Linked DNA regions of Danio rerio. The protein of the gene in region 1 binds, or shares a complex with, the protein of each later gene. Links are inferred from orthologs where the notes say so. Each region holds a gene or a part of one and is shown on either strand. Other genes may lie near its edges. The genes, in order: mbtd1 and morf4l1.

What was found.
Region 2: mbtd1 (region 1) and morf4l1 share a complex: the UniProt entries of both Homo sapiens proteins name them as parts of the nuA4 histone acetyltransferase complex. The link is inferred for Danio rerio from reciprocal best matches to the Homo sapiens genes MBTD1 and MORF4L1.

What each region holds. Positions count from the first base shown.
Region 1 is NC_133187.1:35,466,113-35,470,410, reverse strand, and holds the start of mbtd1 (MBT domain-containing protein 1), read left to right. Parts: upstream 1-1,371; 5' UTR 1,372-1,517; coding exon 1,518-1,538; intron 1,539-2,555; coding exon 2,556-2,757; intron 2,758-4,298. UniProt on the Homo sapiens protein: Chromatin reader component of the NuA4 histone acetyltransferase complex, a multiprotein complex involved in transcriptional activation of select genes principally by acetylation of nucleosomal histones H4 and H2A.
Region 2 is NC_133193.1:21,420,451-21,425,076, forward strand, and holds the start of morf4l1 (mortality factor 4-like protein 1), read left to right. Parts: upstream 1-1,737; 5' UTR 1,738-1,920; coding exon 1,921-1,960; intron 1,961-2,033; exon of another isoform or gene 2,034-2,554; intron 2,555-2,902; coding exon 2,903-2,949; intron 2,950-4,626. UniProt on the Homo sapiens protein: Component of the NuA4 histone acetyltransferase (HAT) complex which is involved in transcriptional activation of select genes principally by acetylation of nucleosomal histones H4 and H2A.

The DNA.
Region 1 (4,298 bases):
TCACTGTGTATTACTTTATTTAAATCCTTTACATAGTAACAGCAATTTCAATGTTAGAAAAGAAATACATATGAGGGCCATGATATACAGTTGAAGTCAGAATTATTAGCCCCCTTTTGATTTTTTTTCTTTTTTAAATATTTTCCAAATGATGTTTAACAGAGCAAGGAAATTTTCACACTATGTCTGATAATATTTTTTCTTCTGGAAAAAGTCTTATTTTCCATTTTTGGGACAAAATTATAAGCCCCTTTAAGCTAATTTTTTTTCTCAATAGTGTACAGAACAAACCATCATTATACAGTAACTTGCCTAATTACCGTAACCTGCCTAGTTCACCTTATTAACCTAGTTAAGCCTTTAAATGTCACTTAGAAGTGTCCTGAAAAACATCAAGCAAAATATTATTTACTGTCATTATGGCAAAGATAAAATAAAATGAGTTAATAAAACTATCATGCTTAGAAAAATCCACTTATAAAAATGTGACTGGGCTTGTCAAGCTTGTCGCCCTCAAAAAAATCATACAAAACAAGTATAAAATCATAAGAATTCAATGATGGAACGCATCCTTGATCGCACTCAGCTTCTCCTCCATCAGATGATGTCACTTTCGATGTCATAGCCTTAAAGGAATTTTATGTTGATGCAGATGTGACTGGACTGACAGAAACATGGGGACAATTGTACATTTCTTTGATTCATAATATTTGTAGTATGTATTTGTAGAATTTATAATTTCATGTTTTTTTTAATCAATTGATGTGAATGATCACAGCTTAAACTTTTAAATAACAGTTTTTAGCATAACAAAACTGTTAAAGCTGTAGGTTAAATTGAGCTGAGTACAAGGACAATGACAGGGTTTGTACATTTGTAAAGTGTTTTTAATAAAGAAAAATAATCTGACAAGAATGACATTCATTTACAGAACAACTCACAGAAATCAACCATCAGTCCATTTTAGACATTTGTGGGATGAAATACTTTTATCCACTGTATTTATGTTTATATTTATATTTCAGAGACAGATAATGTACGTTTCTGGTAGAAGAAAGCAATACCATGAATTTTACATCCTACAGGAATCTTAGCATTTCTGTAACAAATATCTGTTTACATTTATCGTCGCTACCATTGTTACAACCTGTTAAATTATATTGCCTTTAAGCTATGACCGTAAACATTCTATTTTAATGTTAGGGTCAATAAATCTGCTATTCCCACCACTAAATCCGATTTTATTTGATCTGTAATCATTCTCCCTCACTCAAACATTTCCTGTGACCAAATATGGGGTAAATGTGCCGAACACGTGAACGGTGATTGGCTAAAACATATGTCAATCATTGTAGATCCCTGCGCACGCGCACTCTCGAGCCATGACAATTGTTGATAATCAACTGGAGTTATTTTTTGCTATAGAGTAAAATAATTTCAAGCCAGGCCCTTTCCCTCCGGGGGGCTGTCGGATCATACCACAACAAACGTAAGATACCGACTTGCATGAAGGGCTAATGGAAAACCCAAGGGATATGGTAAGAAAGAGTTTATTTGAGCCCGCTTCCTTGATTTAGCTCAGTTAGCGGCTTAGCAGTTAGCCGTCCTCTTTGTTTTGGTTGTCAGAAACAGATCCTGCTCGTCACACAAACTACAGCGTTTACCTCATTCGAATCACTCGTAATTCTTTCTATGCCATATAACATTTCATTCAAATAAGCTGTCTTATTAAATGGTGCTAATACAGTTGGTAATGTATATGTTTTGTGCTGCTGCAATAGACCCGCAGGCCAATGAATGTGGAAATGTTTGTGTTTGTTTCCCAACACACAGTTTTTACGAGGCTCGCATATGCGTTAAAACGTTTTCACGAGCTGTTATGTACGAGCAGGCATCTTACTAGGGCTTAAGATAAGCGTATGTGCCTGTTTGTGTTGTGAGGGCTTGTAATATGACCTAAAATCATTCACTTGTAGTTAATAGGGATAATAACAGCATTAATTTGTGGTAAAATTGAATGTTAGGAGATGAGAATTGAAATGGTACTCTTTCAGGGGAAGAAAAGGTCCCAAAATGTTCATTCTGAAATCAGGTCACAGTGTATTGGAGTCCTTCTACAGTCTAGTGTTGAAGTATTGATGAATATAAATATGTAATTTCTCAAAATGCAGCAAATTTAAATTATATATATATATATATATATATATATATATATATGCGCCTTTTATATTCTGGCTTGAGATAATTGTGTAGAATCTTTAGTGCTTTGTACATGATATTTGCTTCTTGTGACCCTTGGAAGCCTTTAATTTTAATAATGTGATTTGAGCCGCCTCCTAATTCCCTCTTTTAAAGATTGTGGTTATTACTAGTTACAATATTAATCATGGTGTATCATGTCAAAGGTGGTCATTTATTAAAGTATTATGGTTGTGCAAGAGAGCTGTAATCCTTTTGTCTTTCTTTGCCCTTACTTTAATTTAACATTACTCCTTCCTTCTCTCTCTCTCTTTTTAATATTCTCCATTTTTTTTGTCTCACCTCGTCACATGTAGGCTGAGCACACTCCCCGCTCAGAGCGGAAGAGGAGAGATTCGTTCGGGATGTTTGACGGGTATGACAGCTGCAGTGAAGACAGCAGTAGCAGCTCCAGCTCGGAGGACAGTGAAGATGAAGTTCCCAGCATCCCTGCCAGTTTGCCTATCATCAAAAACAATGGCCAGGTGTACACCTATCCTGACGGGAAAGCAGGAATGGGTTAGTCATGTGGATACAAAAGTCAAAAAACATACCTAAATATTATTTAAATTATGGCTGGGCGATATGACAATCCTATATCATGATAAAAGTCATCACATATTCTTAAAGATATATGGCAAGATATATACATCTTTTTTCTAAATTCAATTAATTAATAGTTTATCTACATTTAGGAATGCACGATATATCGGTGGCCATATTGTTATAGGGCGTTAAATGCTATTTTTAATGTTATTATTATCGATCCAATATCAAAATTAGGCATATATCTTTAAGCTGATAGATTACGTAATTGTACAGAACTGCCTGCCTCGAGAATGCGTGGGTCAAAACTGTCCAGTGCACTATAATGAAGCTTTCCTCACATTTTTTATTGACAGCAAAAATGATCATAAAAGCGTCTGACAAGAAGCGTCTATATGTTCAAAAGAATCTAAAACGCCAAATAGGATGAATTTATGCCGATTTTTCTAAAGTAAAACATACTGTCTATCTGTATTATCTTTTTGCTTGTACTGTTGCTCTGAACTGTCAAAACACCTCACAAAATGCTTTTTTGGACATTGCATAGTTCTACATATGTACATTACTAAACCACGGTTTATTCAAGAACATTTGCGCTGTTTTCAGTTCTGTGTTCTTTCATTTTCGTTTTACTATTTATTTAACTTGTTTGTTAATTAAATCTTGTTTTGTTATTTAACCTATTATTTTTATGCAACAGTCAAGTTGCATGTTAATTTGCTATGCAAAGAAAAGGAAATCATTTATTTTTGGCATGCTAATTTATGTGAAATCATAAATATAGGTCTATATAATCACCTACAATTTTGAAATTATTGCTTTTATTGCTTTAAGTAGGCTATTCAAATATCAGTTCAAACTTTTATTAAGTTTTTAAAAACAAAATCAGCTGTTCACTGTATAAAAATATCAAATTTTGAAATATTTATATTTATCGGCTTTAATATATCGGTTATCAGCCTCCAAATCTCAACAGTTATGGATATCGGCCAAAAATATTATCGGTGCATCCCTAATAAACATTCACTAAATAGAAAGGAAATGTCTTTTTTCTTTACATTTTAAGGGATATACTCTGTTAAAATGTAATTCATTCTTATTTATATGTGATCATATCTTTAATTTTTTTCAGAACTTCAGGGCAAATTTTTTAGGAATGAAGTAATATAAAATGAAAATTAATGAAAAATAAGATGAATGCAGGCCTAACATAAAATATTGCAAAATGTAGACGTTGCACTTTCAATATTGCAACTTTTTCATGATGCTTTTATTCATGTTTATGTCTGCTTCCACATAATGCAGTGTAAAATTGCGGTCAAATGAATTATAAGTATTACTGTAGTGCCACCGTGAAATAAAAGATAGAGAATAATATGAAACGATAAACGTTTGATTTAGTCCATATATTGTCATATTGCACATCCCTAATTTTAAACCTGACACAAGCAATGTTATGAAAAGAAACGGTACAGTATTGTTTCTAATGAGAAATTGTATTTGGTGCCCTGTTT
Region 2 (4,626 bases), on another chromosome or scaffold:
ATTGATATAATAAATAATTCTGACTATAATTTCATATAATTACTATGCGCAATGGGATAAATCCTGCATCAAATGGTATACAAAGAATATAATTGTCACAAGGAAAAAAAACGTTTAAATTTCCTCTTGAGGTTTATATTGTCAAGAAACTGCTGAACACTCAATAGCAATGTATCAAGCTTCAATTAAGAATAGTGGCTGATTAGTTAAAAATTCTGTCTTATATGTGGGATGGATGGTACGCCACTCCACCTGTAATATTGGATGTCTGGGGCCACCCTTGGAGTGGCACACTGAAATCAATGATTGAACAAACGAACAAATGAAGGAAACCTTGATGTGTTGCACTTTTGTTTCTGGTTAATGTTTTCAGGTTTGATTGTAATTCTCTTTCCATTTAATAGAGAGAAGATTGTTTTTTAACAAATTTCTAAGCATAATAGTTTAATAACTTATTTCTAATAACTGATTTATTTTATCTTTGCCATGGTGACAAATAATATTTAACTAGATAATTTTCAAGAGACTTCTATACAGCTTAGCTCATTTAAAGGCTTAACTAGGTTTACTATACATGTTAGGGTAATTAGGCAAGTTGTTGTATATCGATGGTTTGTTCTGTACACAGTCTGAAAAATTTTGCTTAAAGGAGCTAATATAGGTTTGACCCTAAAATGATACATAATAAATTTTAAACTGCTTTTATTCTAGCCGAAATAAAACAAATAAGACTTTCTCCAGAAGAAAAAATATAATCAGACATACTGTGCTCTGTTAAACATAATTTAGAAATATTATAAAAAGATAATATCTTTTTATAATAAAAAGATATTACACCGGAGGGGCCGGTGTAATAATTCTGACTTAAAAGTGTGTGTGTGTGTGTGTGTGTGTGTGTGTGTGTGTGTGTGTGTGTGTGTGTGTGTGTGTGTGTGTGTGTGTGTGTGTGTGTGTGTGTGTGTGTGTGTGTAGTGCTGAGCATAATTAAGTACACACATATGTGTATCCAATTGTCAGTGAATATAGGCAATGTATTGTGGTGCATTTAAACGAAACAAATTTATTAAACAAATTTATTTAATGAAATAATATTTTAGTCACCAAACATAAATTTTTTTAAAGATAATACAATTAAATTCAAGCAAAATATGGCCCCAAAAAAACTTACAACCTATAAAAAAAATATTATTTATTTATTTTTCTCTTTTCTTAAATTTGCATTTAATATTTTTTTCTATAACATAAATTTGGCTGTACTTATTTTTGGACTGTTATCGTAAGTTATTTTGTTAGATAGGCTCCAGATTTGCTTCAGTACTGACTAATATAGTATAGATTCCTATTAAAAATATGAATTTAAAAGATAGATTTGTGAGGGGTGTACTTATTTATGCTGAGAACTGTGTGTATGGTATGTATGTATGTATGTATGTATGTATATATATGTATATATATATATATATATATATATATATATATATATATATATATGTATATATATATATATATATATATATATATATATATATATATATATATATATATATATATATATATATATATAAACAAAAGTCGTGTACACCTTGCATAACCTCAATTGTTTTGTTTTTGGTGCAGCTACCCCTTTAAATTTTAACAAGAAATAAAAACATAAATTATAGAAGAGGCGTGGCGTAACGTTGAAATATATCTGCATAAATGCACTTATTTACATGTATTGCCGTGAGTAGAGCACAACTTCTGTCATTCGTCAACAGGGGCTGCTGGATAAACGCTGTTTATTATGAGAGTCACCTGACAAGGGCGCCAGTAAAGTGCGTCATAGGAACGCAGCGCGGCGCCTTCACCCTGCGTGAATTAAATCGGAGCTGGCAATGCCTGGATTTGATTTTCCAGCTATTTTTATTGTTTAATCTGTGAATGGCGCCTAAACAGGACCCTAAACCTAAATTTCAAGAAGGTAAGATGCGCTTTGTTTCATCCACGAGAGTCACCCGTCGATCGGGGATCCTCTCATTCTGCCGTGCAAAGGAAGCGGGCGCTGCCGCTGCACAATGGCGCGCGCGCACGGCGAGCTGTCTGTTACAAAACACTTTTTAGCTGAGAGTTGCCGCCTTTAACTTGTGCAGAGTTGTTCATCACCTGTCAAGCGAGTGCATGATCGCACGTTGGTGCTTTTCGTTGCATCTGACAGCCTCTGCAGACGCACACAGCGGCGTGTTCCTGAAACAAAACATTAGCTGTTGTCTATGATGTAGCCGTTAGCATACAGCAGGCCTTGTTTACAGGAAGCGGCCATTGCAGTATTGAAGTCCTGGCGGGAACAGTCATTTACTTATTTGAAGCGTAAAAACAACGACGTTAGCTCGGAGCTGTTCTAAAACTGAAGTCGATAATGAGCAAAGAAAGGCTATATTATTGCATTAAAATGACCATTAGCAATTTTTGATAACTGAATGAATCGTTCTATAGAATCGAATCTTTAGAACAGTGTTCTATTCTGAATCTGATTCCTGAACTGGGACTCTAATATGAGTTAATATTGTTGGTGATTGTAAGTAAACGCATATGTCAAGTAAACAGTCAGATTTGATGTATTGTTTGACTATATAAGCAGGTTTTAAATGTGCGTATTTCTCGTTTGTTTAAGTATTGTGTATTGAAAATGCTAATTATATTTTGGTTATAATGAGCTTAATTATGATTCAAACAAACAATATGGTAAATATACTGCAGACTGTTATAAATCTACTATACATTTAAAACATTTCTTTGTTGTGGCATTTTCTGAAAGTACAATATTCTGTGCCCACACACATATTTGAATATGTAACACTTCTATTTTATTTATTAGCCCATTAGTGGATGTCATTGTATATTAATATTTCTGATGTTTTTTCAGGTGAACGAGTGCTGTGCTTTCATGGGCCATTGCTATACGAAGCTAAGGTACCTGAATCATTCATGCCATTATGCATGCTTCAAAAGGCTTTTTGATATTTGTTTTCCTGAAAGCAGTACCTGAATGGCATTACATTTATAGTGTAAATGTAGTCATGTGTTTGTAGTGGTTTTGTTTATCATATTAATGCTTTGGTATTGTTTTCTGTGTCAAGTAAAGGGATTTGTTTTTGTATAGTTAGCCCTCTACCCCATGGTGTTGCCATATGGCAACATAATACCGTTAATTTTTGCCAGTGCCACTGTTCTTCTTCTTCTGCCAGTGTTTCTTTAAGACCAACGTTCTGTTTGTTTTTTTTGTTTTTTTGTGGTTATTGGAAAGAGAAGACCTTAGTGTAGCCAATGATGTGCTTCGGTTAAGTCACATGACGTGCAGTGTTTTTCTGTGGCTTGGTTTCTGTTAGACTGGCGTTTATTTTGAATAGTTGCTGAAAGCAAATGAAAAAGTCAATAAAATCAAAGCATCAACCCATGCCAGATCCACAAACAAAATCTGAGACATCACATCCAATAAGTTATGATGACATATTCACAACTCAAAAAGATTTTGATCAAATTAGCATTTTGTAAGTCGATCAAATGTATGTGCTAGCAAATGGAAATGCTGTACAATAGAGGAATGTGCGATATTGCGATAGATTAGCTAGCTAGGTCAGCTCAGCTGTGGTCTTTAAAGTTGTAACAATAACAACATGAATGCTAGTAATATAACGTTGATTAGTTGTATGTTAATGGCATTTGCTTTATGGTTAAATCTAATTTTAATGGCAGTGCATTTGATTAGATATAAATACAAGGAACAGTGTATTAGTGAGGACCACAATGTTCTATAGTTAGTGAAAGAAGAAAAGGACACAACTGGCTCTTCCCACAGATGAACGTGAGGATGAGATGGTGACAATGAGAATAATGCAGATTGGACATTTGATAAGAGCAGTGATGAAGTCAGTTTAAGTTAGCTAGCTCAGAGGTGTATATAAGACAGATGTAGTAAAGTATATAGTTTAATATATAAACATAGTTTGCTGGTAGCAAAAGTTTATTTTGATGCATCTGAATATTTTAGACTTATTTATTTGTTATAATATTTACTAGAGGATATATTTATACTTTCTGTATGTTGTCTACATGATAATACAATATTATGTTAAAAAGAATGGACTAAATAAAAAGTTTTGGAATATCAGTTGAAGTCAGAATTATTAGCCCCCCTGTTTATTTTTTTCCCCAATTTCTGTTTAATGGAGTATGTTTTTTTTAACACACTTCTTAACATAATAGTTTTAATAACTCATTTCTAATAACTGATTTATTTTATCTTTGCCATGATGACAGTAAATAATATTTGACTAGATATTTTTCAAGACACTTCTATACAGCTTAAAGTGGCATTTAAAGGCTTAACTAGGTTAATTAGGTTAACTAGACAGGTTAGGGTAATTAGGCAAGTTATTGTATAATAATGGTCTGTAGACTATTGAAAAAATATAGCTTAAAGGAGCTAATAATTTTGACCTTAAAACTGTTTTAAAAAAATCTAAAACTGCTTTTATTCTAGCCGAAATAAAACAAGTAAGACTTTCTCCAGAAGAAAAAATAGTATCAGACATACTGTGAAAATTTCCTTGCTCTGTTTAACAAAATTTGGGAAATATTTTAAAAATA